Diceros bicornis minor: one gene and its partner. The protein of the gene in region 1 purifies or fractionates together with the protein of each later gene. This does not show direct contact. Links are inferred from orthologs where the notes say so. Each region holds a gene or a part of one and is shown in the gene's direction. Other genes may lie near its edges. The genes, in order: CHEK1 and HAX1.

Evidence for each region.
Region 2: the proteins of CHEK1 (region 1) and HAX1 purify together in Homo sapiens (affinity purification with mass spectrometry; 3 studies listed by BioGRID and IntAct, with this or other methods). This does not show direct contact. The link is inferred for Diceros bicornis minor from reciprocal best matches to the Homo sapiens genes CHEK1 and HAX1.

The regions. Positions count from the first base shown.
Region 1 is NC_080746.1:10,462,602-10,478,753, reverse strand, and holds the start of CHEK1 (serine/threonine-protein kinase Chk1), read left to right. Parts: upstream 1-5,110; 5' UTR 5,111-5,130; coding exon 5,131-5,195; intron 5,196-6,023; coding exon 6,024-6,247; intron 6,248-7,686; coding exon 7,687-7,751; intron 7,752-7,835; coding exon 7,836-7,905; intron 7,906-11,361; coding exon 11,362-11,550; intron 11,551-11,977; coding exon 11,978-12,082; intron 12,083-13,923; coding exon 13,924-14,019; intron 14,020-16,152. UniProt on the Homo sapiens protein: Serine/threonine-protein kinase which is required for checkpoint-mediated cell cycle arrest and activation of DNA repair in response to the presence of DNA damage or unreplicated DNA.
Region 2 is NC_080743.1:58,330,983-58,347,008, forward strand, and holds HAX1 (HCLS1-associated protein X-1), read left to right. Parts: upstream 1-9,577; 5' UTR 9,578-9,621; coding exon 9,622-9,674; intron 9,675-10,210; coding exon 10,211-10,461; intron 10,462-10,638; coding exon 10,639-10,826; intron 10,827-11,549; coding exon 11,550-11,601; intron 11,602-11,748; coding exon 11,749-11,855; intron 11,856-11,983; coding exon 11,984-12,074; intron 12,075-12,218; coding exon 12,219-12,304; 3' UTR 12,305-12,477; downstream 12,478-16,026. Other genes in the region: UBAP2L (ubiquitin-associated protein 2-like), read left to right, coding at 1-33, 5,096-5,163, 6,119-6,316, 6,728-6,778, 7,598-7,693. UniProt on the Homo sapiens protein: Recruits the Arp2/3 complex to the cell cortex and regulates reorganization of the cortical actin cytoskeleton via its interaction with KCNC3 and the Arp2/3 complex. Slows down the rate of inactivation of KCNC3 channels. Promotes GNA13-mediated cell migration.

The DNA.
Region 1 (16,152 bases):
TTAATGTCAGGACAAACAGCTTTATGTTCAGTACAGTAGGACATTATATGTATTTTACAACATAAGACACATATCAGTGATATATATATAAACCCTAAGTCATTAGAAATAATACAGGGTAACTGTTTAGTGTTACCTCTTTAAGAAACAGGAGCAATTACATGGCTTTTAGATAAGTCAAAATGGTGCTCCTAAAGGGTATGCTCAGGTATACTTGTATACCCAGGAAACAGCCTTCCAAACCAATTTATATACCAAGCGCTTCAACTGTGGGTGAGATTTAGATTTGATGTAAGATTTGATTTACTGTATGTAAATACATTACTTGATATATATACAGAATTCCTTCCTAGTGGAAGAGCTTATTCTGAGGGGTTTTTTTTTCTTCTTTTTTTTACCTATATGAGTAATACCAGTTAGAGATCATTAGTGATCTTCATCTATAGTATATATGGGATAACTCTTTCATTTATCACTATAGTTGTTGCTCTTACGATTTTAATTTTGTTACCTTTCTAGGCTACATGAAGCTATCTTTTTAAAAAATTTACGTTTCTTTTTTCATTGTTATAGTGCTCTTAGTGTAAAAATAATAAAATAATTCTAAAAAGCAACAACACTGTTTTGCACCCCCTAGAGGCAATGAATTTCAACTCTGCTGATTCTCACATTACTTACCTCCATATCATTAAATAATTTGCTTTATTTTGGTATGTGTTGGTTTTTCAATTTTAGGTTGACTTTCTGGTGTGGAAATGGAGGATTTAGCTCTTTTTCCCCATCCTGCTGTTCCCATGGCCACACTTGTTCTTACCATCTTTAAGCTTCTATTATAGTTATGATTTAGGTTAGCTCCATAGGTTTTACCTTATGGCTTTTCACAACTAGACCATGTGGTATACTGTTACTATTTTTTCTCTGCATAACTTTTTTTCGGAGGGAGATTTTTCATTTTTTTTTTTGTACTTGTCACTAATTTCTCCCCAAACTCTCCTTCATTTGTGCCAACTAATCCTTTTATTTATTTTATTTTTTTTTAAAGGTAATCTTCTTATTTATTTATTTATTTATTTTCCCCCCAAAGCCCCAGTAGATAGCTGTACGTCATAGTTGCACATCCTTCTAGTTGCTGTATGTGGGACGCGGCCTCAGCATGGCCAGAGAAGCCGTGCGTCGGTGCGCACCCGGGATCTGAACCCGGGCTGCCAGCAGCAGAGCGCACGCACTTAACCGCTAAGCCATGGGGCCGGCCCCCAACTAATCCTTTTAATGTGTTCAGACTTATTAGATAACTCATTCTTAGAGATGTCTTCTGTTTTGGTATGTCCCAGTTTGGATTGGTTTACTCTAGATTACACACTTCTTGGGTTGGTGTGTTCTTTCACTGTCATTTTGTGTGTGTTAATCCTCTGATTTCTTTGATTTATCACCTCTAAGTACCTTCTTGAGAAAGCCTGTGGGAGATAAATTTCTTGAGATCTTGCATGTTTCTTGTGACATTTAATTGAGAGGTGGGCTAGGTAGAGTTGCAGGTTGGGAAGAAGTTTTCCTTAGAATTATTTTAAAGGCATTGGCCCATTATTTTCTATTTTCTACATGTTGAGAAATGCAATGCTATTCTGATTCTTAATTTTTTTGTATGTGGCCATTCCCTCTCATTCCCACCCCAGACCTCTTAGGATCTTCTCTTTGTATGTAATGTTTTGAAATTTTCCTAATGATGTGTCTTGGAGTGGGTCATCCATTGTGCTGGGTACTTTAAACTTTTAAGTATAGAAAATCAAGATCTTCAGTTAAGGGAAATTTTCTTGAGTTATTTGTGGATTCCCTCAACTCCCTTTCTTTTTCTGAAAAATAAGTTATTTGGATGTTGGACTTCCTGGATTAGTCTTTCAATATTCTTATATTTACCCTTCTGTTTTCCATCTTTACTCTTCCTTCTGGGAGATTTCCTAAACTTTTTTTTCTAACATATCTATTTAGTTTCCTTTTTTTCTGCTATCATATTTTTTAAATGTCCAAGAGGTTTTTTGTTTGAATATTCCTTTGTTTTGACATTTTTCCTATTAAAGGCCTTTTCAAATTCTTGGTTGTCTGCCCTTTTTGAAGAGTGGGACCCTAAAAAGTTGATTGTAAGGGCTCTTTGGGGTGGGGTGGGGCTTATTGAATGTGGGCTTCCCTCTCCTGTGATCTGAGTTGTTAGGAAGTCCGGATATTGGTATCTTTTGATCTTTTCTTTTATATAGATAAGATTCCCTGGAGAAGGCATGTATATCCTCTTAAGGATACAAGCCAAGTTGCCAGATTTCTGGGAGTAAAGTGGGGGAAAAAAGGCTCAGAGGTTCTACTTTCAGTGCATAAACTTAAACTTGATCCCTTTGTTTTCAACAGCCTTTAGCTATGCCTGATGCTGTCCAGTTCAGATACCACGTGTTACCCTCTCAAGTCTTGTGTCTGTTTCAGGGAGGGGCAGTTCTTTGGGTATACAGAGGACAGAGAGGATCCAAGGGTTTATTTGCTTCTTACATAGTCTTTCAACCTACCCTCTTTTTAGCCCCATGTTCACCTCCACATTCAGTTACCTGGTGTTGATAATTCTACTTGAGCCTTTGGGAGTTCTGGGATGCAAATCATGTTGCTTTTCTGCTTTCTCATTGCTGGCGTTAGGATTCGTCTTTCTTTCATCTAAGTTACCTTTCATCTAAAGACTTGCCACTTTCCAAAAGGTTTTTTTTCATACTCTATTCTTGTGGGTTATTGCCTTTTAAAAATTTACTATTATTTTAAAATAGTAAATTTTACTATTTTGTTATTTTAATATTTACTATTAAAATTTACTATTTTAGTAAAGTTTCAGAAGAGAATAGAGGCTACTGTGTGCATTCGTTCATTCTCCCACATGCTATCTTGCAGTAGTATTCTGCCTGAATCCTGTATACTGATTTCTTTCAGGCTAAAATACCTTAATTCTATCCAGACACATAGGAACTGTACAGATCCTCCTCTCTCTTCATATTCTTTGTTTGCAGCACACAGTGCAGAAACTACAGAAAATGGAGTAAATGACTTCGAAAACTTTATTATATGAAGCCTAAACTGTGATGTCATGGTTAAAAACTTCTTGCGTAAGCATTTTGAAATGTTCTGGTCTTGTTTTTTTTAGCCCTGACTTTGCTACTTTAAGACACATGTATGCAATTTTGTGTAATATATTTTACACTTACTCTATTACCAGTATCACAGGCAAGAGCAAGTTATGCTCAACGTATGTGGCCCAGTTTTAAGAACTGGAGAATTGAATGGAGATGATCTTGCCTGCGTTTTGAGTTCCCAGTCTAGTTTACTGTCAAGGGGGTATACCTATTTCAGTTTTTCCACATTATTTTGTGCTCAAACAAGTCCCCTTTCCCTGAATTTACTTTCCCATTTAAACTGGTTACTTTTAACATTGGCATTGTAAAATGAGGCGAAACGCCTTTTTGCTTCTACCTGCCTGTATCTTACACATTAAGAATGAAAAAGCGAGTAGAACTAAGCTATGCAGATGCTCCTACTTTACGAAGGTTGGGCTAAGGTCTTGTTTTGGAGCCAGTTCAGACATGATAAGATTGGTTATCCTGACATGACCTCAAACTACAAATAAATAGCTTTCTTCATCCGGGCGCGTTCCCACCCTCATTCCTCTGTGGCCAGTCTTTTTTGATGCTTCTGGCTCCCACCACAAAGTTCCTTTCACTCTTCAAAAGATCAATTACAACAGCAGCTCTTAGCTTCTCCGCTCTCGTTTTTTCTGTAGCGCACTTTAAAGTTACATAGAGAGGCAACAGTCATTGCATGTGATCCTCACAATCCTGCCAGCAGCCGGGCGAGGTGCTCGGAGCTCCCGAGCTGGTCGGTGTAGGCACGTATCCCGCCCGCCCGCCAGGTCCAGAACACAGGGGGCGCGAACGCGAGGACCGCGCCGCCCGCTGTGTCAAGGCACATCTCCGGAGGGGCTTCGGCTCCGCCCAGGAGCGTGAGGGCCGCCTGGCCGAGGTCCCACACCGGAGACCACTTCGCGTCTGGGCCCAGAGATCATGCGCACTGATGCGGCGGGCAGTTCTTAAATCTCTTCAGCCAGGACCTTGCCTCGACTCCAAAGTAACCCAAGGCCCGGCCTGCTTAAACCTGGGGGTAACCTCCCGGCGCCCGCCACCTGAAGCGGCCACTCTTACGGCAGCGGTCACGGGAACGCGCGCTTTCCTGCTTTACGGCAAGGGTGCGCACGTTTGCGACCGTGTGACGCGAGCAAGTTTTGGCGGGAAAAGCGCCGTATTTGGATTCCTGTGGTGGCAGGCAAAGGACGAGGGTGAGGAGAGGCGGTCGGTAGGGTGGGTAACCAGTTTGGAGAAGGAGTTCGGGGTCCACATTAGTTAGGAGGGGCACGGCGAGAGAATGTTACCGGGGACAGGCGAAGGGGATCGGAGAGACTCCCACGGAGGGCGGTTTCGGAGGGTGGAGGAGTACTGGGGGTCCCCATTGTAGAGGGACTGGAGAGACCAACTCTCTGCTGGCTGAGAACCCCAGGGGTTTGGGCCCCGGCCGTCCGTCTGCCACCCAGCCCTTCCGCTTCTTGGGGCAGTTTGGCCCCGCCCCGGCTCCTCCCGGCCTTTGGGACGGGGTGAGAGTGGGTATTGGGACTGAGCAAGTGGAGAGGAGGGGCTGCAGGGGTCGTAGTTATTATTTCCGCCCCCATGAGGCCGCATCCTCTTACTCTCCCACCCAAACCCCACCTCTTTCACCCTCTTCCCCAGTCATCCACCGTAAAGCATTTGTACCCCAGCTCCTCAACAGAACTATTAAATTTCTTCTGAGGCCTGAGGAAGGCGGAGTTTCAGCCGTCGGGTTGCGTGGGAATGCGGATTGTGATTAACACAACAAAGTGCCAGAATTTAGAATACATACTTGCTTGTGGTTAAAAGACTTGGATAAAATGTGGATGAGGTGTAAGGGGAAACCAAGAGCTATTATTTATATTGAGGAATCATGGCAAGAGCCAGAGCTCAGTGGCTTTACAGATAATTGAGGCTTCTTCTCATCCCCATCATTTCTGGGTTCCTACCTTTTGCAGCCGTGGTTCGTAGTGGAGTCATGGCAGTGCCCTTTGTGGAAGACTGGGACTTGGTGCAAACCCTGGGAGAAGGTGCCTATGGAGAGTGAGTTTGAGTCCGCTTACCCTGCCTTCACGCTTGTTTAGTTTTCTCTCTGTTGTCTTGTTTGAGTACATACATATTCATTGTTTTGGAGTTGTTTATTCTAATACAGTGGTGCCTTAGCGAACAGATCTTTGCATTTGAAATCCAAGACTTTTGGGAACTGAAGCTGCACAATCTTTTGTAAGAATTAATTTTTTTCTTGCTTTTTTCCAACAGTGTTTGTAAAGAGCTGGAAGAGACTTCTAAAGTCAGTTTCTCTTCCCACATATCCCTTCCTGGGGTTTAAGCATAGTGGTTAAGTGAGCAAATGAACAGACACTGGAGTCAGACTGGTTTCGAACCCTCACTCTGTCACATACTGGTCATTGTTTTGTTTTCTTGGGCAAGCTTCTTAATGCGGTTGTGTGCCTCTGTTTCCTCAGCTGTGAGATGGCAATAGTAGTACCTACCGCATAGATGCTTAGAACAGTTAACACAGGTGTATGTAGTGTCGGATTGATATATGTTAGGTAATGTTATTAAAATTAAATGAATAGTGTATGCATATATGTGATGTGGCATACAATTGCTGTTATCCCATTTTAATTTATTTTATCAAGCGTTTATTAAATGACTTTTGGATGTATAGCATAATGACTTCCTTGGGACATTAACTATCATACCTTACATGTCAGAAAGGAGTAGTATCTGTTGAGAACATGGCAGAAACTGTTTCCTTGGTTTCTCCTTTGTAGAGAAAGTAATAAAGGTAAAATAGTTGGATGAGTCATGTTTAATCTTTTGAAGTTTTAAAAGAAAGAATTCAAATGTCTTCCTTTTCCTTTTTAGAGTTCAACTTGCTGTGAATAGAAGAACTGAAGAAGCAGTTGCAGTGAAGATAGTAGACATGAAGCGTGCCATAGACTGTCCAGAAAATATTAAGAAAGAGATCTGTATCAATAAAATGTTAAATCATGAGAATGTAGTGAAATTCTATGGTCACAGGAGAGAAGGCAATATCCAGTATCTATTTCTGGAGTACTGCAGTGGGGGAGAACTTTTTGATAGAATAGGTATGGAAAAGATTTAAGATACTTATTCTACTAAACGAATTTCTAAATTTGGTTTTGAATCTTGGGTCTGCTATTTGATCATTGTCCAATTGCTTATGCAATAATGAAATTGGAGTAAATTTTCTTGTTTTAGCAACTTATGTTAACACATGAAAGCATATATAGAGTCATCAAAGAAAACTTTTTTTCCCAAGTTGTATATGTGATTTTGGTTGAGATTGCTGTTTTGTAGAGTTTAAGAATGATAAACTAATCTCATGGTGAAGTATTATAATTGCAATCTATTGTTTGCCTAGACAGTTTTTTTCTTTGTAGACATTCTAGTTACATAAAATCATTGCATACATTTACAGATACAAAATAATAAATAATAGCATGTTGTTATATTTCTTCTTTATTTATTTAAATGAAATAATTGAGAATGTTCTAGGATTGCTTTATATATATTAAGTAATGTCTGTGTTTGCCACCTAAATATTCTATGTAGATTCAAAGGCTTTATATTACAGAACACTGAGGAATACATAAATTATATTCTGTGAATCTAAATTGATTATTTAAAGCTATTGTATTAACAGTTAAAAACTGATTATTAGAATCTCCAATATGTATCTCAGGAGAGAGTTGAGTGTAGAAAAAATCAAGAGTTAATGAGGGAGGCCGGCCCCGTGGCTTGGCAGTTAAGTGTGTGCGCTCTGCTGCTGGCGGCCCAGGTTCGGATCCTGGGCGCGCACCGATGCGCCACTTCTCTGGCCATGCTGGGGCTGCGTCCCACATGTAGCAGCTACAGGAATGTGCAGCTATGACATACAACTATCTACTGGGACTTTGGGGGAAAAAAATAATAAAAAATAAAACGTTTAAAAAAAAGTTAATGAGGGAGATCAAAGTACAAAAAGATAACTGACAATAGAACATTTCTTAATAAAACTGTATTTCCTGAAGGAACTTCACAGACATTCACAGCTTTGTAGTAGTGAGAGAGTATATGAAATTTAAATCTTTTGTTAATTATTTAGTGAAATTAGCTTAGATTTGCCCAGGCTTACACTTTGGCAATTACATTTCAGAGGTAGGAGAAATATTGTTATAGCATTTAGAAGAAATTAGAGGAGAATTTGAAGGATACCATATAGATCATGGTTAGTGTAAGATGAGCAGGGGCTTTCAAGGTATGGCTTGCATTCTTGATTTGGATGATAGTTTTTGGTCTCTGTAATTTTCCTGTGATGTTAATTTATTTTTGCCACGAACAGATGGGAAAATGTGAGCTATTAAGTACTATATGAGTTGGTGAACTCCAGAGTCTTTAACTGTTAGCATAAGATTCTGTTGCTACAGTACAATCACAAATGTCTAACCTTAGCATTAGGAGACTTTGTGGTTGATGCCTGATTATATTTACCTGGTAAACTAACTTTCATAATTAATTCCTATAGAGCCAGACATAGGCATGCCTGAACAAGATGCTCAGAGGTTCTTCCATCAACTCATGGCAGGGGTGGTAGGTACAGTTGTCTCTTTTCCTTTTGCTTAAAATTAGTGTGACTGAAGTAAGTTACTGAACTTTGGTATGCTTCCCTCCTAGGTTTATTTGCATGGTATTGGAATAACTCACAGGGATATTAAGCCAGAAAATCTCCTATTGGATGAAAGGGGTAAGTTGAGCATTTTGTCACTGCCACCTAAGTTATTTTAATATAGCTGTACAACGCAGGATCAAGGCTTTTGTGTTATTGAAATTTCAGGGCAAAAAATCCAAAGAAAAGTCTAGGAAATTTGAGAGACTCAGTATATTTAGACTTTATGAGTCTTTCATGATATAGTTGTGGATGAAACAGAAATCTGACCTAGATGCAAGGGTAGCTCACTATATGAATAACTATATGAATAGTCTTAAACAACTCTTTAATAAATTAATAAAGGGAAGTTTCTATTGGAATACCCTGGACCTTAGCTTTGTGCCCCTGTTTGTTCTTTTTAATCTATGATTTGGATGAAAAGAGTTTAGATATATTTTATGGATGCCATAAAAACTGAGAGGGATGGCTAGTGAAAGTGTTAGCTTATAGAATCAGAATCCAAAAAGATGACAGAGGGCCGGCCCTGTGGCTTAACGGTTAAGTGCGCGCGCGCTCCGCTGCTGGTGGCCCAGGTTCGGATCCCGGGCACGCACTGACGCACCGCTTCTCCGGCCATGCTGAGGCCGTGTCCCACATACAGCAACTAGAAGGATGTGCAGCTATGACATACAACTATCTACTGGGGCTTTTGGGGGGAAAAAAAAAGAGAGATGACAGAAATGTCAGCTGCAAGAGGCAGTGACTTTTGTCTGTTTTGTTTAATGCTTTATTTAATGCATTAGAATAGAGCCTGGCAAATAGGCTTTCAAGAATATTTATTGAATGAATGAGTTTAGCAGACCAGAGAGATGGGTCAGATTTAACAAGTTGTTCTCCAACAGAGAAAAATCTAAAGTCCAGTATTTGGATGGAAAAAACTAACCAAGTAAGTATAGTTGAGTGGCATATCTTTGGCAGCAAAGCAGGTTAAAAAAGACTTAGCTGGCAGCAAACTTCATATTAGTTCCCAGTGTAATTTGGTCATTAGGAAACTTAAGTTGATGTTATTGAGAATGAGGAAGATGGCAGTCCAACACTTCTTCAGTGAGGCCACACCGGAAATAATGGGTGTCCTGGGACAATAGTGTAAAAGGCACGTAGACCACTGAAGTACTTTTATAGGAGACTGACTAGAATGATGAAAGGGCCACAAACTATGTAAAATAAGGAATAACTGAAGGAACTCGGTGGAAACTTGCTACCTGTTGAATACAGTTCTTCAGAATATGTGGGTGAAAACTATGTGGAAGGTAGTACAGGGATGACCCCCATTAATGGATCTGTCCAGAAACTTAATAGGTTGCTTTAGAATATAGTGAGTTTATAACATGAGAGTCAAACACTGGATTATTATCATCAGGGATATGGTAAGGGGAATTTAAACGTTGCTTGGCTAGTTGGACCAAAGTACTTTTAAGATTTTGTCTAACCCTGAGGTTTAGTGTTTCTGGCAGCATTGTTCACCATGACAGGTAACTGTACTTTCTTATCAGCCTCCTAACCTCTTCCTGAACTCTATAATTCACCTTCATATGAGGGGATAAATTAAGAGAAGCCACTTTATTTACTAAAAAATGGAGATGTGAGTATGTAATAATATCTGGAATATGAGAACTTTGTTCCCAAACTTAAAGTATTGGTTTTTTTCCCTTCATAAAGATAAAAGATAATCATGAAGTAAGAGCAAAAGTATAAAGAAGAAAGTAAAAAATCACCAGAAGCTCACCAATCAGTTATAATCACTGTTAATGTTTTGATGAATATCTTTTAGATACCCTTTTATTAACCCATCTGCTAACCTAGCTACCTAAGATCCTCCCTTGGTTGTTTAACCTACTGTAAGTTGGCCTTTCATAAGGCACGTAGCAAAATTTTAGATATTCAGAAAATTTGTGTGGGAAAAAAGGAACTGTAGAATGGTCTGTTGATGAATCCTGAGAAATGAGAGCACAGCTGGGAAAATTTCTTTCGCTTCCATTTTTCATTCTATTTCCATTACTTTTTGAATGTTAATAGCCTTGATGGTATTACAGTTAGTTCTTCCCCTTCCTCATCTACAAATTAAGTCCTTTTTTGATTAAATACAGGTTTCAAGCTACATAAAACCCTCTGGAAAAGAAGGATTGAATGTATCTTTAAATATGAGAGGTGGTATACCATAGTATTAAGAGCTTAAGCTTTAGAGTCCTTTGAACCTAGGTTTAATCTAGGCCACCTTGTAATAGGTGTGTGGCCTTGGGGTAAATTGCTTAACTTCTCTCTGCCTCACTTTCTTCATCTATAAAATGGGCAGAGTAAGAGAATCTACTTGGGTTGTGAGATATGATATCTCTCTTCTTTATCCTCACAACCCAAGTGGAGATATGTGTAAAACGTAATGTAAGTTAGATCATAGAATATATGCTTTTTTCTTATGTGCATATGGACTTTACTTTTTACCCTTTTTCTTTTTTTGGTGAGGAAGATTAGCCCTGAGCTAACATCTGTGCCCATCTTCCTCTATTTTATGTGGGACGCCTGCCACAGCGTGATTTGATGAATGGTGCATAGGTCTGCGCCGGGGATCTGAACCTGCAAACCCCGACCACTGAAGCAGAGCATGCAAACTTAACCACTATGCCACTGGGCCAGCCCCTACTTTTTACCCTTTTACATTGTATTTGTATAGCATAAAAACCTTTACTTTTATTTAAAACTTAAAAAAAATTCAGGCCCACAAAAATTTATATAAAATGTATAATACATAATATAATAAATTAAAATATAATAAACACCTGTGTACCCACCTGGTTTAAAAAATAAAACATTATGCATATATACAGCAGTGGTGTTTATAATAGCAAAAAACTGGAAACAACTCAAATGTCTATCAACAATAGAACAGATAAATTATGAAATGGATGATTTATAGCTACAAGTAATGACATGGATGAATTTTAGGAATATAATGATATAGAGCAAAAAAAGTTGCAGAAGAATTCATACAAGTATGAATCTATTTTTATGAAGGTCAAAAATATGTAAAATATATTGTTTAGAGATACAAACATGGAAAAAAACTCCAAAAAAAAGAAAGACCATCCTGCCAGCTGGGTTTGTTTGCTTCTGAGAAAGTTGTGCCTAGTATATTGTTGATGTTTCCTTTCTGCCCTCTGCACAATCTGATGAAAGGCTCAGCTCTGCTTTCAGCCTAAGTCTGGAATGCACTTTTCCAGAAGGCAGTATCTTTCTTTAACGTGGTCCATATTGTTTTGTGTGTTGATGGTATTTCTCTTAAGTTGATAGAAGCAATGAGGCCTTTTTCTAGTTATAGCTAGATGATGATGTCTTTTATTTGTTGTTTTTTAAAATTTCTTTTTGGTCATTTTAAGGTAGAGAAGTTCTATGAACCTTAAGTAACAACAGGGATTTTCCAATAAAACTTAATTCCTTTAGGTATATCTATATACAAAACATTTTTATCCGGTGCTATTCTTTTTTCCTTTGGTTTAGATAACCTCAAAATCTCTGACTTTGGCTTGGCGACAGTGTTTCGGCATAATAATCGTGAACGTTTATTGAACAAGATGTGTGGTACTTTACCTTATGTTGCTCCAGAACTTCTAAAGAGGAAAGAATTTCATGCAGAACCGGTTGATGTTTGGTCCTGTGGAATAGTACTTACTGCGATGTTGGCTGGAGGTAACAGCTGTTTAATCATGATAAAACTCCTGTCTTATGGAAAGCCAAATGTGTTAGACCAAAATGAATGAAATAAACCAAGGGAATCCATATTTATGTGATAGTAACTTATTTATAACTAAGTTGGAACTTTTAACCCCAAAAGTTTTTAAAAATCAGGTATGTATAGCTGATAAATGAGGTAACACAATAGCTATCTCTTTTAAGATTCATGTGAATACTTTTGGAAAGAGTAGGGCAGGAAGTGATTCATCCATCTTTGAAGTGCCTCTGAAATTTTTGTGAGTTGCATTTTTGGTTTGAAAACCATATTGAATTAATTTTGAGGAAACTTTTAATGGATTTGTGTAATTGATTATTTTCCCTTAAAATCTTTACTGTATAACGATGCGAGCACTCAGATAACTGGGACTTATTTCTTTCTTAGAATTGCCATGGGACCAGCCCAGTGACAGTTGTCAAGAATATTCTGATTGGAAAGAAAAAAAAACATACCTCAACCCTTGGAAAAAAATCGATTCTGTTCCTCTAGGTAACTGGGTTATCTTGATTGAAAGTACTGATTTCTTGGATAATGAAGCCTACTGCCTTTTGAATTTTTTTCTTACATTTTTTTTTCTTTTTAATTTTTAAATAATCATGTAAATAATCCATGATCCTTGTAGATAAATTAGAACATAATAAATAAAAATTTTTAAAAAACCAACCCTATAATCCCAGCATTCAGAAATAGCTTCTTTTAATATTTTGATATGTGCTTCTAGACATTGTTGTAAAAATATTTAATATATGTTTGTTATATATGTATATTAGTTATAAGTATGTGTGTTTTGACAAAAGATGAGATCACATTACACATGCTATTTTGTAACCTGTTTTTTTATGTTAATGCTTTGTGGACATTTTTCCATAACTATAATTGCAGGTCTACATCATTGTTTTTAAAGGCTATGATAGTATTCTGCTGTGTGGATATGCCTTACTATACTCATCCCGTTCACTTTTTTAGAGATTTAGACTTTTTCTGATTTTTCACTGTTATGAAAGAGATAATGATGATCATCCATGTAATGCACATACCTTTAAATTGTTTAATTAAAAAAATCCCCAGAAGTGGAACTACAGGGTCAAGGATGTATATAGTTTTTAATTATTGTGGTTTACTTTGCCATATTGCTTCCCAGAAAGTTTGTACCATTTTATCACCATCTCATTGGTTTATATTTTTAAAAAAATATTTGACTAATTTTCTAATAGGCCTTTAAAAAATACATTCACTGTTTTTTATTTTTATTTTAAATTTAGTGCCAATGAGGTTGTATATCCATTATATATTTATTGGCTTTTTGTCTATTTTTGTAGATTGTCTATTTTGCTCATTTTTGACAGGGAGGTTTTATTACTGTGTGAGTTTTTTTTTTTAAACATTAATGTCATTAGATCTTCACATTTGTTAGAAATATTTTTCACCATTTATGTACTTTTATTTTGTTTATGCTATTTTGACATGCAAAAGTTTTATATTTTTATTTATTCAAATCTATTATCTTGTCCTTTGTGGTTTCTCACTATATGGTCATGTTTGGAAAGGTCTTTTCTATCCCTAATATTAGAAAAAAATTCCCTATGTTTTCATGGCTCCATTTTTTCATTTAAATCTTTGGTCCATTAGAAAATGATTTTGGTAGTGGGAGATGTATGAATTTTTTGTCAAGATAATTAAGATACTTTAGGATGATGGTTGCTTATATGACTGTCTCTTTCAAAGTTTTTGGAAAGTAGAGGCTGGCCTGGTGGTGTAGTGGTTAAGTTTGCACACTCCACTTTGGCAGCCCAGGCTTCAAGCGTTTGGATCCTGGGCGCGGACCTACACACTGCTCATCAAGCCATGCTGTGGCGGCATCCCACATACAAAATAGAGGAAGATTGGCACGGATGTTAGCTCAGGGTCAATCTTCCTCACCAAAAGAAAAAGTTTTTGGAAAGTAGATTGTCCTTATAAAACTGTGTGAATGAGGATTTAACATGACATATTGGACCAATGAAGTTGGGTACTGAAAATGGATAAGGGGGTTTTTGTATTTTTTTGTTAATGTTATCACATGGGGGGAAGCATTTCCACCTGGCTCTTGTTCTTCTTAGTTGCAGACAACTGAGAATCAGATCTGGGAAGAATATTCTAAGATATAGACAGTAGCAAAGAAAAACTGCATGAAATTAAAGCAATACTTCAGTAGCTTTATTTTTCTCTTCCCTAGAAATAATATTCGGTTGTAAGGAGACCAATAGAGAATGTGTTCCATACCACAGGCTATAGGCTTTTCTAATGTGCATGACTCTTTTGTAAATGTTGTCTTAATGTTTTGTTTTCAGCTCTACTGCATAAAATCCTAGTTGAGAATCCGTCAGTAAGGATTACCATCCCTGACATCAAAAAAGATAGATGGTACAACAAACCACTCAAGAAAGGTAATATCCTTAAAATACAAGTATTTTTTTTTCTTTTTCTTTTTCTTTATTGTGAAATTTTTGTTATACATTATTGTTTGTTAGTCATCATATAAATGCATCCCTTCACCCCTTTTGCCCACCTCCTCACCCCACTAGGCCTGGTAACCACCAAACAGTTCTCTCTGTCTGTGTGTTGGTTTATCTTCCACGTATGAGTGAAATCATGTGGTGTTTGTCTTTCTCTTTCTGGCTTATTTCGCTTAACATAATACCCTCCAGGTCCATCCATGTTATTGCAAATGGGATGATTTTGTCTTTTTTTTATGGCTGAGTAGTATTCCATTCTATATATATACCACAGCTTCTTTATCCACTTATCAGTTGAGGGACACTTGGGTTGCTTCCACATCTTGGCTATAGTGAATAATGCTATGATGAACATAGGGGTGCAAAAGCCTCTTTGGATTGTTGGTTTCAGGTTTGTTGGCTAGATACCCAGTAGTGGGATAGCTGGATGATAAGGTATTTCTATTTTTAATTTTTTGAGGAATTTCCATACTGTTTTCCATAGAGGCTGTGCCACTTTGCACTCCCACCAGCAGTGAATTAGGGTTCCCGTTTCTCCACAGCCTCTCCAGCGTTTGTTGTTTTTTGTCTTGGTGATTATATTCATCCTAACAGGCGTAAGATGATATCTTAGTGTGGTTTTGATTTGCATTTCCCTGATGATTAGTGACGTTTCATATACCTATTGGCCATCTGTATATCTGCTTTGGAGAAGTGTCTGTTTATTTCCTCTGCCCATTTTTTGATCAAGTTGTTTGTTTTTTAATTGTTCAGTTGTGTGAGTTCTTTATATATTATGGAGATTAATCCCTTGTCAGATATATGGTTTGCAAGTATTTTTTCCCAACCGGTGGGTTGCCTATTCATTTTGATCCTGGTTTCGTTTGCCTAAAAAACAAGTATATTTTTCTGTGAAAGAAAAGGTACTTGCAAAGTCAGTATCACAAGTCAACAGTACAAGATAGCTGTGGTCTCTGTCCTCATGGAGCTTATAATGACTAGTAGGAAAAACAAACATAAAAATAATTTTACATTTATTAATAATTATAAAGTGGAAAGTCAGGGTACTATAGCTAAGTGTTTGACCAAGTCTTAAGTGACGGAGAAAACTTGTCTTCCTGAGGAAATCATATTAAATCTAAGGTTTGAAGATTAAAGAGGAGCTAGCCAGATGAGTGCTAGCAAGATGAGTAGCAGATTCTGAACAGAGGAAGCAGCATTTGGAATGTCTTGGGGTTTAGAAAGTGGTGCATTTGAGGAATTTGAAAGAAGGCCACTATGGCATGGACTGTGTCTGGCTTGTTCATTGTATCACTAGTGGTTAGCACAGTATATGGTGCATTGTAGGCACTCAGTAGATGTTTGTTGAGTAAAGGAGTGAAGAGAGAAGGGAGAGATGTTTGAGATGAGGCCAGAGAGGTAGGTAGTGATCAAGTAGTGGAGGAGGACCTTGTAAGCCATGTTAAGGATTTTGGGCTTTAGCTCAAGGGCATTGGGGAAACCTTTGAGAGCTTTTAAGCAAGGAAATGACATGATCATATATTTGGTTTTAAAAGATCTTTCTGGCTACTTTTTTTAAAAGTTGTTTTTGATCCTAGACATGAGAAGATGGTAGCTTGGACTAGGTTGGTGACAGTGGGATTGGAAAGAAGAGAGATATTCCAAAGAAATTTAAGAACTAGAATTGATAGTTGATAGGACTGATGATTGTTTATATGTAGAAAATGAAGGAGAATGAGGAATCAATGATGACTCCTTTCTGGTTTGAACAACTGTATAAATGGTGATACCATTTACTGGGATGTAACTCAGGAGGAAAAACAGATTTGGGGGAAAATTTTATTTGATTTTGGGCATGTTGAATTTGAGAAGTTAAGTAAAACTGTCCAGTAGGTATTTATGTGTATGTGTGTGTGAGGCTTGAGATGTCAGTTCAGGTGTTTTCTGCAGATAGATGGTAATGTAAACTATGATGGTAGACGAAATTGAGTGTATGAAATTTTAAGGAATGCCAACATTTAAGTGGTAGGTGGGGGCCAGGGAAACAGAAAAGTAGCCAGAGAGGTGGGAGGAACGTCAGAGAAT
Region 2 (16,026 bases), on another chromosome or scaffold:
CAAGTGGATATGGGTCTCACGGATACAACACTGGTAAGCTCACCTTGGCTGTCAGTGGTGTCTGTAGGATGTTGTTAAATGAGTTTCAGAGAGGAAGACTTGGTGCTTGAGAAAATAGGGTTGGTGAGGGTGTGCTGATGCTTCATGTTTGATTGTTAATGTTTGACTGACTTGAGTGTCTGTCTGAGCAGCAACAACAGAGGAGCTTGATACTAGAACATGTATCCCCTACTCTTGATGGGAATGCCCTGGGGCACATGTTGGTTATTAGAATACGTTGGCCAGCCTAAACTGGGTGGGAAGCAGGGCAAGGAGCCCCAAGATTTTACTGAGATGTCAATGGAGGCAAGCGTTAATATATAAGGTGCTGATAGTATAAAGGTGAATGTATTTACTGAATAGGAGGGTTAAGTGGGTTCTTAGCTAGCATGCCATAGTAGGTTTGGCTTAAATAATTTTGTAGCACTATGTTTCTTACGTGGCCCCTTTTTACTCCCTAGCTAGAAGACCTAAGATGTGGAGAGAAAGGAGTAAGGCATGAGTACTCAACAGAGTGAGAGTTGGGCTGGGAGAGTTGGACATTTCGGTTCCTTAATTTGTATGGCTGGTCTCTTTGCAAAAGTCCATTTGCACATTGATGGTAGGGAGGGGAATGTAGGAATCCTCTGAATGGTACTGACCTAAAAGATACTTAGCCTCTCCTTTGCCTCCCATATCTGACACCTACTCTCTATTTGTGGAGGACAAGGAGTAAGAAAGAGTCTTTGAATAAAACAATTCCGTCTACTTTTTTCAGTGACTTGCAGATGAATATGGGGGGAGGAGGAGGTTGCAATTGCTAGGGCTTGGGGTTGAGGGTTATCCTTCAAAATTCTCAGCTGTTCTGGTTTCCTGGTGGTTTGGATGGAGCTGCACCTGTATTCTTCACCCTAGTGTGGGCTCCAGGTGGGTATATCGCCCAAGGTTTTCAATAATTGGGAAACTGAGCTGAGCACAGAGAGCCACAGGTCTGGGAACTAACAGCCACGTGGAGCTTTGAACTGTGCTGTATGACTTAGAGTGGGTCAGGATTTCAGCTAAAGAAATCCTGAGACACCCCATTGAGATTTAATACCTAGACTCCTTGTGGCTCATTGAGCAAGATCCACCCTAATTCTTAGTGGGGAGGATTATAAGCTTTTTGACTTGGAGTGGCCCCATTCTGAGAATATTAGATTAAATCTTAGCTAGACCAGGTTCAAGAATTTTAAGAGGTAGGTTATGGATAATATAAGAGAATGGCATACCTGATTCTGGAAATCCTAGCTTCTTACCTCCCTTAAGATTTCAGAAACCTGGTATAACAGCCCTTTGAGAACCCCCAGTTCCCAATCCCGCAGAGGGCTCTTGTTATCCCATTCCTCATCAACCTCTAAATTCATTTATTTTTATGTATTTGATTCCTTTTAGGAAGAAAATATCCACCCCCTTACAAGCATTTCTGGACGGCAGAGAGCTAATTTGGCCCAAGGCTGGGGGCTATGTTTTGTGTGTGTGTATAAATTTGCACTGAAGTCTTGTTTCAGAAACCAGACCACTGAGGAGAGCCTGCTGAGCTGAGGCCATGGCCTGCGTGGCTTGGGGAAATGAGTTGGTGGATATCTTCTGGGCTTTTGAACTTGCCCTTCCCCCATTTCCCTCTCCCCCATGTGTCTGACCCTGTCTTACCCATTTCAAGTTCAAGCGGTGCAGCACCTCCGAAGCATCAATGCACACACCTGCTGTTGCTTTTGATTTCTGGAAGGCATGTAGTTTCAACTTGTAACAAAAATATTTGTAGTCTTCAATAAACTGTGGTATTTCTTTAGCTAACTCTGGCGTTCTTTCCGTGCATGTCTTTCTGGACACTAGGAGCCAATGTTGTGCTGTGGATGAAGGGTGGAGGGTGGCCTTTTCAGTCAAACCCCAGCATAGTCAAAGAACTGTTAACTTTTCAGTAAGGTGATTTTATTAAGGTGGGGGAGGGGAAACAGTCTCCGTTTCCAGCCTGTTGATTGGTTGGTAAAGAAAGCTATTTGTAGAAAATCCCTGATTCTCCATGCTTATTATAGCTCTTCACTTTTCCATTTAGATCTTCCCCTTGCCTCTGACATAAGCAGAGGAGAAAGGACAAAAAAGTTTATTGAGTGTCATGTCTGGTGAAAGGCAGAAGAGATGATGTTTAGAGCTGTTGTCAGGGAAGTATCTTCCAAGGCTTAATTCCCATATCTTGTTCCCCAAGGCCAAGTGGCTGATTGAGATCTGATAAAGTCTTTAGTGACCAGCTAGTTGATGATGCAGGCTGTGGAAACTGTGCTAGCCTGGAACATTGTTCTTAGTCTTTTGATGGCTTTTCAGGGATTGTGGATTACTAGTCATTTTGTACTTGTAGGTGTAGCTAAGAATGTGTGGGAGAGGTTTGGTTAGACATCTCCTTGACTATGGAAATTCTTATCCCCACTCAATCCCACTAGTACACCATCAGCCCTTTGTTTACAGTGTTAACTGTAAGACAGTAGGAATGGTGAGACAGTGAGAACACTGTCCTTGGTTAATTGGAAACCCAGGCATTCCACTTTCTTTGTATTTGTTCCCAGCCCTCTGGAGTAATTTTATCCTGTGAGTGTGACCAACTTTCCCAGCGGCTGCCATGCTGGGAGAGATGGGTTCTTATTTCTCCTCCCTGCTGTCCACATCATGGTTAGTATGAGCATCACTGCTTGGGAGTGAGGGATAGACAGGGTGCTGACTGTTGGAAGGAAGGCAAGAGAACTCTGTAATCTGAGGAGCTGTCTAATAACTGCTGAAAGGTAGGAAAACCAAGACCCATTATTTTCTAGGCTCTCCAGTGAGGTTATCTATTACACCTACTACACAGAGTATTCTCTTTTTTCCTGCATTTCCAGTCCCTTCAACCCATATCCAAATTAAGGCTTCGAGACTTAGACGCTAGTTTTTAGCTAGTCTAGCCTCTGGAAAGAAATGAGACCAGATAGGGGCACATCAGAACTAAATTCCTCTCTACCACCCAGCTTGAGAATCCAGTTAGCCATTTCTCCCATCCTGTATGGGATGACCAAGAGGTGTCAGCAAGCTGTTTGAGCCTTTGCAGTAAAGATCAATCACTGTCTCCTGGTTTCCCTCAAAAATGTTCTGTTTATATCCTGTGTATTCCATCTTACTCTCAACCCTTCCACAAAAACCTCATTAGTTTAGCCTTTTCCATAAATGAACTCCTGTTCTTAAAGTTATGCGTATTACCAGTGATTTGCCAGATGGGCACCTGGGGTTTGAAAAGGGAAGGGGAAAAAATACCCCATTAGCTCCTGTATTGTCCACTTCTTTGTACTTCAGTGCCTTTAAAGTATAGAGAGTTGATAGTTTGGAGATGGGGAAGTATTTTATCATGCTTGCTTTCTGTAGTTCTGTTCTTTTTCCTAGTTGGTGTTTGCTCCTCCCTGGAACTATCTGGACTTGTGATGTGGGAGGGGTTTCCAGGTTAAGATGCCACTTCTATTGGGAAGATTCTAAAGTGGCTGTCCAAGGTGGGCTTAACTTTTGAAGGCTGCCTTTGTCCTAGACATTCGGAGGATTTGGGTTGTAGAGTTTGAAGGGGGATTGCTGTTGAATTGTGGGTGAATGGAGAATTCCTCATTTGTGATTTGGTTACTTTAGTACAGAGTTTCTAAAGAACTCTTCCATTGTAGTGTTCCTAACAGCAGAAGAGAAGGATCCAAGGACATAGACTGAAATGCGAAGTTTTTCTGAAGTTTCATTTTATCTCACTTCATGAGAACTAATATCTTTAAAAAGCATGCTTTAAATTCCTAGTTAAATTTGAGTTACTTTTCCTCAAATCTTTGCATAAGATTTCTCTAGTAAGATGCTGGATTATTTTACCTGATGGCTTTTTCCTATCTCCTTGACCCACTGCCCCATATCCCAGGAGGTACAGTATGTTTATTTCAGTTTAAGAAGTACAAATTAAAATGAGGAATTGTACTACTCTGGTTTCCTTAAAGTTGTAGTGGTAGTAGGGACTTTATCAACAGGAAACATGCAAGTTGTTGGAGTATGGATTAGAGCTTTTATCTCATGGAGAAGCTGAATTGTAAACTAGAATGACATTTGGATTTTGTATTCCACCTATGCTGTAGAGATAGCCTACCCTTGTCTACCTTCTTTACTCCTTCTCCTTCCCATGCTTAGACTTAAATTATGTAAATGGAAACTCATCTTTGTGTCAGCTGTTTAAATCATAAGTATATAGCCTAGAAGCTCCAAGACTCTGGAGAAGCTGGACTAAGTGAGATGAGGCTCTGAGAATAAAAGTGCTCTTGAGGGTTGAATTGGACTGCTCCTCTAGTACTTACCTTATGCTGTGGAGGGATGGATTTTGAGCCCCCAGATGTCTCTTCATAAACAGAAAGAGCCAGACTACCTGTCTTCAGGAGCAGGACTGAGTGGAGTTTGGGCAGATTGATTTGAAATGGACATTAAAAGTTTAATACATTCTGTTGGGCTTTAGCACAGAAGTATTTTGAAAACTGTATGCTTGTGAGGTTTGGCTAAATCCGCCCCACCCCCCCACCCCCACCCCGGCAAAAAAAAAAAGAACAAACTCACCTCACTCTCTCACACATATACTCAGTACACATCTGGAAAGAGCAAGAGAACCTTTGGGGTTTTTTTTGTGTGTGTGTGGTGAGGAAGATTGGCCCTGAGCTAACATCTGTGCCCATCTTCCTCTAATTTGTACGTGGGACGCTGCCACAGTCTGGCCTGATGAGCAGTGCGTAGGTCCGCACCTGGGAGCTGAACTGTGAACCCTAGGCCACTGAAGTAGAGTGTGCAAAGTTAACCACTATGCTACTGGGCCGGCCCCCGGCAAGAGAACCTTTAGGTAGCCTTTGTTTCATGAGCTCTTATCCCTCAGGACTGACCTGAAGCTGGGAAAACAGACCAAAATTCCCTTGCAGTGCTATAGCTAGAAAGGCTGCACACATCACCTCCTCCCAGGGATAGGGGCCAGGCAGCTAGCTGAGCTAATCCTCCTATCTGTTTCCTCCTCCCCCAGGTGTATCAGTCACCTCCAGTAACACGGGCGTGCCAGATATCTCGGGTTCTGTGTACTCCAAAACCCAGGTAGGTGCCTGGCTCTGGATAGAAGTGGGAAAAGACAGATGGACACAGAGGAGGTAGAGTTGTAATAATAGAAGTACGGTGAACAAGAACCAAGCCTAAGAGAGGTGTCAGGAAACCCATCCTTCTAGAAAATGAATGGTCTCAGACTTCAGTTTCTTGAAGAAGTTTAAATTTAGTTCTCTAGAAAAAGACAAAAAGAGAAGTGTTACAGGAAGGTGAGATGTGGCAAATTGTTGTAATATGTTGTGTGAATTACTGTGCAGCTGTCTGGGCCCTTTACTTACCCACTCCCAACTTTTTCATCACTTTCCAAGAGAATGAGTGTCGAATGAAGGGAAACTAGTTTATTCCATTCTTTGTAAGTATCTAAGGGATAACAAAGAGTGGGAAAGGAGACAACCCAGTAGCTAAAGTGATGCATTTCAGTTATCCACAGATGTGTATTGTGCTGTTTTTCACCTGCCACCATAAATAATTAAAATTTTGATAAAGTATTAGGAGTTACGGTTGAGTGCTTCAGGGCTAAGACTTTTAATACTCAAGATACCTCAGTGTGTATTCATTTCTTTTGAAATATCCAAGCAGTTCTAATTTCTACCCAGCTCTAGGGGAAGGGTGCTAAGAGTAGCCAGCAGATTTCACTGTGTTCGTATATGACGTTAGATTTTACCAAGTGCTTTCACATCCATTTTCTCGTTTGGTCCTTACAACTGAGAGGTCAGTAGCATCCCTGTTTTCATGTATGAGAAAACTGAGGCTGAGAGATAGTAATTTTTTCAGGATCACACAGCTATTAAAGGGCAGAGCTGAGACCGAGACTGGAATATCTGACTTCAGGTGCAGTGTTTCCATGACACTGTGCTGCTTCCTGAGGGTGGGGGAGCTTGGGCTCCGAAATTCCAGGCATTAGTTTGCTGATCCCTTTTACTCTCTCTCCTCGCATCCTCCTGGATAGCAGTCCTTTGAGAAACAAGGTTTTCATTCCGGTACTCCTGCTGCCTCCTTCAACTTGCCTTCAGCCCTAGGAAGTGGGGGGCCCATCAATCCGGCCACAGCTGCTGCCTATCCACCTGCCCCCTTTATGCACATTCTGACCCCCCATCAGCAGCCGCACTCCCAGATCCTTCACCATCACCTGCAGCAGGATGGCCAGGTAATAGCCCTTTCCCTCTCTCCTTTCCCTTCCTCTTCCTTCCTGTCCCTTAAAACTGCCTCCCCTCTCCTTTTCTTACCCTTCCTCACCACCACCTTCACCCAGTCCTCCCCAGCGCCAGTCATGGGCACACAGCACATACAGACACAAGCGCACATAACACAAGTGGCCGGCAAAGGAGATGTCAGAGGAGGGGCCATTGAAACCTTTTTTTGCCCCATTCCTTTGTTGCCTTTCTCCTCCACCTCCCGTAGCACAGTTGTCCTCATCCCATTAGACCTTGGTCACACCTCCCCTCTTACCTCTCCCAGCCTTCCCCCTTCCCTGACATTATAGCTTTCCCTTCTAATGGTGGAGTTCTATTGTCAAAGTTTGTCCCTTTATTTTCCATATATCCTGGTTCTGCCTCAGCTACCATATTTGCAGATGATTCTCTGTTGCCAGCGCCAGCAGGAGGAGCAGGTAATGAAACTCAATGATGATATGCTTGAACCCACTCCTTTTCAGTCCCCATTTCACCTCCACAGCCTTAGGGACTTTGAAGAGAAAAGACTGCACGGTCACAAATCGGGATACACAAACACAACACCTTGCTGAGCTCTCTGGCCTCCCATTCCTCTCTTGTCCTCCCCTCCTCAATGCCCTCTTTTTCTTTCTACCCTTCCCTAACTCTGGAAACACTTGGTTACCGGAATGGAAAGGATTCTTTGGGCAGCATCTGGAGCCTGGGGCCTCAGACTCTCTCTCCTGAAATGGGCTCACAGATGTGATGTGTGATAGGGGTGGGGAGCCACGGGGTGGTGTGAGCGACCTCTGCTCCATCATAGGTGGCTGGGGAGCTGGAATAAGAGCTTCCTTGCTCTCCAAGACAGCTTTCCAAATTGAGACATTCATGGGGATCAATGAAAATGAAATCACCTTGTGATCACTCATCTCCAAGAGGCCATAATTCTCTGTAGAGAGTAGCCTTTTCTCAGACCAGGGGAGGATGGAGGTGGGGGTGGGTGAGGGGGATTTGAAAATGCATAGAACTGATTCACTGTCTTGTCTCTAAAGGTATCTTGCCCTCTTTTCATCTTTCCCCTATCTAAAGAAAGTGCTTTCTTATCAGTGGTGCTCTAGCAGCCATATAAACCGAATTTTCTATTGTTGAGAAGCTTCAGAGCCGTTTCTAAGCAAGGGGGATGGGAGAGCAATTTCCAAATCTCCACCTGAAGATATAACAGTTTGTCCTAACTACACACCTTTTTCCTCCCCATCATCCTCCCCATTCCCCTGCAGACGGGCAGCGGGCAACGTAGCCAGACCAGCTCCATCCCGCAGAAGCCCCAGACCAACAAGTCTGCCTACAACAGCTACAGCTGGGGGGCCAACTGAGGCCCTGACCCTCTTCTCCCGGTCCCATCTTCTGAGAGGGCTTCTCAGCCTGGCAACTATGGAAACAGCATCAAAGAGAGAAAGGAATGTGGGGGGGGTTCCGCTGCCCCCCACCCCCAGCGGCCCACCCCATGCCTCAGCTTCATGTCTGTCCCATTCCCATCCCATCCCCACTCTGTTGTATGTATTATAGGATTTGTATTTTCTCCTTTTTTTTTTTTTTTTTTTTTTGGTCCTTTCCTCTCCTCCTCCCCCCTTGCATTCAAGATTATGAAACTTTGCTGTGGGCCTTGCCCTTCCTTCTCCTCCTGTTCACCCTGGTGGTGTATGGGTGAGGTGGGGAGGGGGCCCCCCCAAATATATATCAGCCCAACAGCCCTAAGTCTCCTCCTTTATTATTAGGAAACAAAACAACAACAACAAAAAATGGCGTCATGAATATGAAAAGCGTTGTCAGATGAATTAGTTGAAGTGTTTTTTTTTTTTGTACTGTGTCCTCAAATTTAATGGATTAATGTGTCTTGTATATATAAAAAAAAAACCTTTACCTTCAGCCTCTGCCCATTCTTACTCTGTCTAGGATATCCTCAGTCTCGTCGATGACCAGCTTGGTGAATAAGTATTACTGTACCAACTGGGCCTCTAGGCCCCGAAGGCAGTGGAATAAAATGAAATCTTCACCCTTTAAGAACTCCTCTGACCCTAATGTGCTACTGTCTTGCCCTTGAGGGGATTCCCTTCCGTTCTCCCCTAAGACTTGCACAGCCTGGTGCCTGGAAAGAACCACCACAAATCTTCATTTCCTCCAGAAATCGACATCTACAGCAGATTTTAGGCAGTGAAGGGAGTGGGATAGTGGATATTGGATGGAAAGCAAGAGGATTAAGAAGGAGCGGAAAGAAATGGCTTTGTAGTCCAAGTATAATTTAGATGGGTCCAGGCAAATGAACTGGAAAGAATGGGAGGCAACATACACTGTTGGATGGCAAAACTGACGCTTGGGGCTCATTTCTCCTAGTAGACTACAGCAGTTCCTGCTTGTTGAGTGCTTTCATTTCACATGGCTATACCCAACTCCTTAAAAAGGAAGAGTCTAGAGCAAGGCCAGGGTTGGGATGGGGGTGGCGGGTACAAGGGGGGGAGGGTTTGAAAATCAATGATGGGAAAAGGGGGATAATTATAGCCCCAAATTCTTCCCTTTCAAGACCCTTCCCTAGATTTCCCTTGCTCTCTTAGAAAGCTGTTATCCTGCTGGTTGCAGAGCATGCCTAGAATCAAAAGAATCCTTCATAATTAGGACAAACTCCTTAGTAGCTGGAGAGGAAGTTAAGTCCTTGCATCCCCGTGTCTTTATCTCTGCACAATTCTGGGGAATGCAGTACTAGAAGGAGCTTGATAAAACAGCTGTCCAACCCTCTAATGTTATACTTAGGTCAGTCAAACCAGCAGGACCGAGGAAAGGGGCGAGGTGGCTTTCAGACGGAAGGACCGGTAGTCCGTGGATGAGCCGGCGGTGAGGGAAGGTCTCGGACCGCTTCATTTGTGGGGATGGACTGCCACCTGGTGCCTTTATCTGGTACCATCCAGCGTCAAACCCTCCAAACACTATTGGACTGGGTTGGTCCAATCAGGAGAATCGGCTTAGGAGGCAGGTGATCACTGGGAAATAGAAATTTGCCCCGCCCACTACCCTCACAGGAAACAGGTAAACAGGGGTAAGGAAAGCCTTTCGAATTTGAGAGGACTGTCCGGCCTGCCCCCTACCGGCGTCTAGCGTACGGTCGTTTTACGACAGTGTCCTGCTCGCAGGCTTGCTTTCCGGCAGCGTGGTCTGACGTTTCGCTCAGTTTCCGACAGCGAAGCGTAGGCTGCCCCCAGGTGTGAATGGGCCTCTGGTACGGTTCGAAGGTTCGAGTCCCAATACGGGAATGAGCCTCTTTGACATTTTTCGGGGGTTTTTCGGCTTTTCGGGACCTCGGAGGTGAGAGTGGGTCCGGGTCGGACAAGGGGGGTGGTCTTCTGAGGGGAGCTTGACCCCTAACACCCAATTTTTGGAAAAACATCCTCTTCCCTACTCCTTCAACTCCTGCGGAGAGGACGGAAGTCACAACATTGAGCACTCACCCCGCAGCAGTAGCCAAGGCGTCGTTAAGAGGAGGAGAAACAGCACCTTAAGCCTTTCTCCAATCTGGGGTGATGCAGCAGGGCCCGGGCGGGGAAGACAGTGGGGCTCTGGGGAAGACGACAATGAGCAAGTGAGCAGGAGCTTGGGAAAGAGGGGAGGGGCTGGGGGACACTGAAGAAAAGCCGAGGGGAGGTGTTTAGGGGAGCTGCGAGGTGAGGACTGACTGATAAAAACTAAGACAAAACAAAACAATACCCAATGGCCAGTCCTCTAAACCTCACCTCAGCTCCCCAGAACCCTACTCTTATCCCACTTTGCCACCCGTGAGTTGATTTTATGGTTTAAGTAGTTCTGAAATCTTGGTGGCCAATCTGCCTCTACCCCAACTACAGAGATCCCTTTTTTGGAGGGATGACTCGAGATGAAGATGATGAGGAAGAGGAAGAAGAAGGAGCCACGTGGGGCCATGGAAGCTCGAGGTTTGAGGGTCCCCAGCCCCCGGAGGAATTTGGCTTCGGCTTCAGCTTCAGCCCAGGAGGAGGGATGCAGTTCCATGATAACTTCGGCTTTGATGACCTAGTACGGGATTTCAATAACATCTTCAGCGAGATGGGGGCCTGGACCTTGCCTTCCCGCCCTCCTGGTGTGTGGCTGCCCCTGAGGGAGAGCCTTTGGTTTCTGCTGGGTTGGTGGTTGAAATAAGGAGCCTGCAGAGAGTAGTTGGGGGATGGGAAGTGTGAGAAGACTGATGATTTCAAGGAGGTTTAAAAGAGCCCAAGTCCTTTCCCACCCCCAGCATCCACCTGCCACCTTTCTTCAGAACTTCCAGGTCCTGAAGCAGAGACACCTGGTGAGAGACAGCAGGAGGGACAGACGCTTCGAGACTCAATGCTTAAGTATCCAGATAGCCACCAGCCCAGGATCTTTGGGGGGGTCTTGGAGAGTGACATAAGAACTGAATCCCCAAAACCAGCACCAGACTGGGGCTCCCAGAGACCTCTCCATAGGGTGAGTACATCTGGGTCTGAAGCGAGAGCCTGTGGGAGACAACTAATGGAGTGCAAAGACTGGCATTCTTGTTGGAATCGAATGGACTTGAGTTGGAAACTTAGGCCCTCCACTTAGTGTATATTTTCTATATTAAGCTTCTTTTAGGGTTTTCTTTGGGGGAAAATGGGGGTTCTGTTTTTGTGTGTGTGTGTGTGAGGAAGATTAGCCCTGAGCTAACACCGGTTGCCAATCCTCCTCTTTTTTGCTGAGGAAGATTGGCCTGGGGCTAACATCCGTGCCCATCTTCCTCTACTTTATGTGGGACACCTGCCACAGTGTGGCTTGATGAACGATGTGTAGGTCCACACCCGGAATCCGAGCCTGCAAACCCTGGGCTGCCAGAAGTGGAGCACGTGAACTCAACCACTACACCACCGGGCTGGCTCTGGGAGTTCTGTTTTTTCTTAAAAAAAACAAAACAAAACCCTGGTCTATATGGTTCTGTGACAAGGCAGGATTGTTGGGGGAGGACAGAAAAGTATCAGTTCAGGAAGTCTTTTTGGTAGAAGAATACATAAAGCAGCTAGGCAGGAAGGCGGGGTGAGTAAATAAAGCTATCCTGAATGGGATTCTCTCTCCTGAAAAAAGGTAGTTTTGGAACTTGGGAATAATTTGGGTACTTTGATCCCTCAAGATTCAGATTGAAAAGTGTCATTTTATCTACTTTGGCTTCTTCTGCAGTTTGATGATATGTGGCCCGTGACCCCCCACTCTAGAGCCAGGGAGGACAATGGTGAGTCTGGAGGGAGAGGACGTTCACCAGACCTCTGTTCTCCCAAAGTTCCCTCTATTTTTCCTCCCTGAGGTTTCTTCCTGCCACACTTGTCCCCTTCTTTCCTTTGGACTCTTTCTTTCCTGTTTCATCTCTCTGCCCTTCTAGATCTTGATTCCCAGGTTTCCCAGGAGGGCCTTGGCCCAGTTCTGCAGCCCCAGCCCAAATCCTATTTCAAGAGCGTCTCTGTGACCAAGATCACTAAGCCAGATGGGGTGAGTTGGGAGAGAGGAGTAAAGGGAACTGTGGCCAGAGGATGCTCTGGAAAAAGGGATCTATGTAAAGAAACCAGTGAACTCACCTTTAGTGATGTTAGGGATATGGTGGGGGCTTCTCCTTGTAGACAGTAGAGGAGCGCCGGACTGTGGTGGACAGTGAAGGTCGGACAGAGACCACAGTAACTCGTCAAGAAGCAGGTGGCAGTCCTAGAGATGGTAAGTGAAGAGTGTGAATGAAAGGGGTCCATCTTTTAATTCCTTGGGGAAGAGAAACCCTCTTCTACTCTTTAATATTATTTTTCTCCTTTGCGTCTGCCCAATCTTTTTCATTTCAAGAAAGTGTATCACTTTCTTCCTTAGATCCAGAAGCACCAACACCTCCAGCCCTGGATGATACCTTTTCCATCCTGGATTTATTCCTAGGACGTTGGTTCCGGTCCCGGTAGCCTTGTTAACCCTCAGAGACCTTCAGGTTCTTTCCACCTTCCACCCTTTGCTCACCATCAATGGGCTTAGCCTCTTCTGCCACCTCCGGGCTTGGGTGTGTCGAACAGTGAATTGGGGGTATGTCAGTATGTCACTTGCCCAAACTGACTAATAAAACGTTTATTTATGCTAATTCTTTAGTCTTGGTTTTGTTAAGGCTGTTCCACTTTCTAGCACCATCCAGGGCTTCCAAAATTATCCTGCCCACAGTTTTCTCCTTATGTCTTAATTTTTCTTTCCACTTTCAAAACCTGGTTTGATAAGTAAGGGTCAGGTACCAGTAGAAAATGATTTTCTTTACAGAGGAGATAAGATGACTAGAGATAATTCCAGGAAAATTTATAGACAGGGATGCATCAGATTACAAAAAAAGGAAGTGTGTGAAAGTGTGGGAGATAACTGCTTCCCTAGATGTGGGATCACTATGATTGGATACTTCATGAGATCATTTGAGGAAGTATATGGGCAAATATTTCTTCCTTTATTGGCTATGTTTTTATTTTTTTATGTAAGAAAAAGTATAACTAGCAAAAACATTACTGGATCTTTTTCTCATTAAAAAAGTTTTTAGCACTGGTTTAGAGCGGCAGGTCTTACAAATTTATTTACCTCTGTTTCCTCTGGAAACCTCACGAAAATAACAATAAAGGGATTTTTCTAAAGAGGCATATCACAAGAACAAAGGAGAGGAGATATAGTAATGAACTTTTGTCTTTTTATTCTCTTTTTTATATCTTTTGGTGAACAGAAGATGATTCATTGTAGCCAAATTTATCTTTTCCTTTATGGTTAGTGCTCTTTATATCTTTTAGAAATCTCCCCAAACCCAAGGTTAAAAGGATGCTGTCCTTTATTACCCTCTATGAGTTTTTCAGTTTTGCCTTTTACATTTAGTTTTCTTAATCCACCTGGAATTTATCTTCCTATATGGTATGAATCAGGGGACCAGTTTCATTTTTTTCATTTGGGAAAAAATATATACACATATGCACATATATACACACATATTAACATATGTGCACACATACATATATATAAATACATGTATGTCCCTGTGCTGGGTCTTTCTACTCTTTTCTGTTAATCTATTTATCTATCTTTGAACCCATATTACACTTTTAAATACTATAGTTGTATTTAGTAGAACAAATCCTCCCACCTTTTTTTTTTTTTTTCCCCACTAACTTCTATAGTATATAAGAATACAATTGAGATTTCTAGTCAGCTTTTTACAGTCAGTGCTGGGGGTCTAGTGGTTAAGATTCAGCACTCTCACCACCATGGCTCAAGTGTTTCCTGGTCAGGGAACTACATCACCCATCTGTCAGTTGTCATACTATGGCCACTGTGTGGTGGTGTGATGCTGACAGCTATGCCACAGGTATTTCAAATACCAGTGGAGTCACCCATGGTGGACAGGTTTCCGCGGAGCTTCCAGACTAAGACAGACTAGGAAGAAGGAACGGGCCACCCACTTATGAAAAAATTTGCCATAAAAACCCTGTGAATAGCAGCAAAGCATTGTCTGATATAATGCCAGAAGGTTAGAGCTTGGTGCAAAAAGACCAGGCAGGGTTCCGCTCTGCAGTGTCACTAGGAGTTGGAATCGACTTGGTGGTACTAACAACAAAATCAGCTTTTTAGAGTACCATCATAAACACAAATGGAGCCAGAGATTACCAGACATCTGTGGACAGCATCCAACATGAAGGATGGAGACTCATACAAACAAAAGAAGCAACTTGGAAGAAACAGAGACTATGCAGAAAGATGAAAATTTAGCAAGAACACAAATCTTTAATATCCTTAGAAATATGAGATGATATACCCATAAAACCAAAACAGGATGCTACAAAAGAGGAATTAACAAAATAAGAATGAACTTTGGGGAGTTAAAAAAAATATGATGGCAGAAATGAAAAACTATAAAAAGGTCTGCATGCCAAAGTTGAGGAAATCTCCAAAACAGTAGACCAAATAACAGAGACAGAAAATAGAAGGAAAAAAGATAAGAAAATTAGGGTAGTATAAATTATCAAAGAAATAAGTAAAGAAAATAGCCCAGAAGTGAAGGATATTACTTTGTAACCTGAAAGGACTCACTACATGCTTGATATCAAGGATGAAAATAAATCCACTCCAAGGCACATCATACAAAATTTCAGAACACTAGAGACAAAAGAGAATCTAAGTGATTCGAGAGAGAGAAATCACATACAGAGGATCAGGAATCAGAATGTTCTCAAACTTAAACAGCAACACTGGAATTAAAAGACAATGGAGAATTATTTTTAAAATACTGAAGGAAAATTATTTCCAGTCTAGAATTGTATGCCCAATTAAACTATGAATTAAATGTAGGAGTATAATAGACATTTTTAGACATGAAATGGGGTATCTATAAAAGGGGTTTCTATAAAAACCTATACCAAACATCATATTTAATGCTGAAAGACTGATGCTTTCCCACTAAGATTAGGAACAAAGCCAGGATATCTGCTCTTATCCTACGTTGTATTGGAGGTTCTAGATAGTGCAATAAGGCCAGAAAATGGAATGGAAAGGAAGAAGTAAAACTGTTTACAGATGCCATGACCTTGTATGTAGGAAAAAATCCTAAGGAATCAACAAAAAAAAATTACTTGTAGTAATAATTGAGTAGAGCAAGGTTTCAGGATACAAGATCAATATACAAAAAAAGAACAAAAAAATGTTTTTCTACATATTGGCAACAAACAATCTGAAAATGAAATTAACAATTCCCTTCATAATAGCATAATAAAGAATAAAATACTTAATTCTGACAAGAGAAGTGCAAGAGCTGAACATTTTTGAAAACTACAAAAATTGCTGAGATAATTAAAATCTAAATAAAAGGAGAGATATACCATGTTCATGAATTGGAAAACTTAAGATAGCAATTCTATCCAAATTTATCTATAGATTTAATGCAATTCCTATCAAAATCCTAGTAATTTTTTTTTTGTAGAAGTTGACAAGTAGTTTCTCCTCAATGTGGGACCCTGTTCTGGAAGGTAGACCAGGTGCATCAGGTAGCCCCTTCAGACTGTCTTCTGTGGGCCTCTTGAAATCACCCACTATTGGAGGAGTAAAATCCATGCCAGTTTCAGCACTTCTGAAATTGACCTGCAGAACTTTCCAGGGAATACTCGAGGAGCATTTGGGGGTTCTCCTGTTCTTGGGTTTATCATATAACCTGTTGCTTTTCTCTACTCTCTGCTTCTTGCACAAACACTGGTGCTGTAGGGGTCTTATGGCTGTTGATGTCGTCCCTACCCATTTGTACTACAGGGTTTGAAAGTATACTTGTCACCTAGTTTTATTGTACATGTTTTTAATGAGTCTTCGATTTTGCTATCTAGTCAATCTTTTTATGTGGAGCTTCAAGAAAATCCAAAAACTAGGCTTTCATTGCTGCTGCTATCTTCCCAGAATTCCCACCAACATTACCTTTTTTACACAAAAAATTTATAACATCTACTTAATATTCTGAAATGAAATTTATTGATAATATCTATACACATAGTAATTACATATATGTAGATATACTCTTAAGTTTTCTATAAAGGAGAAATAAAAGGAAAGTAATAAGAAAATTGTATATTTTCTAATATGTAAATGCTCAAGCACAACTAGAATCCATAATGAAATATTCCGACCA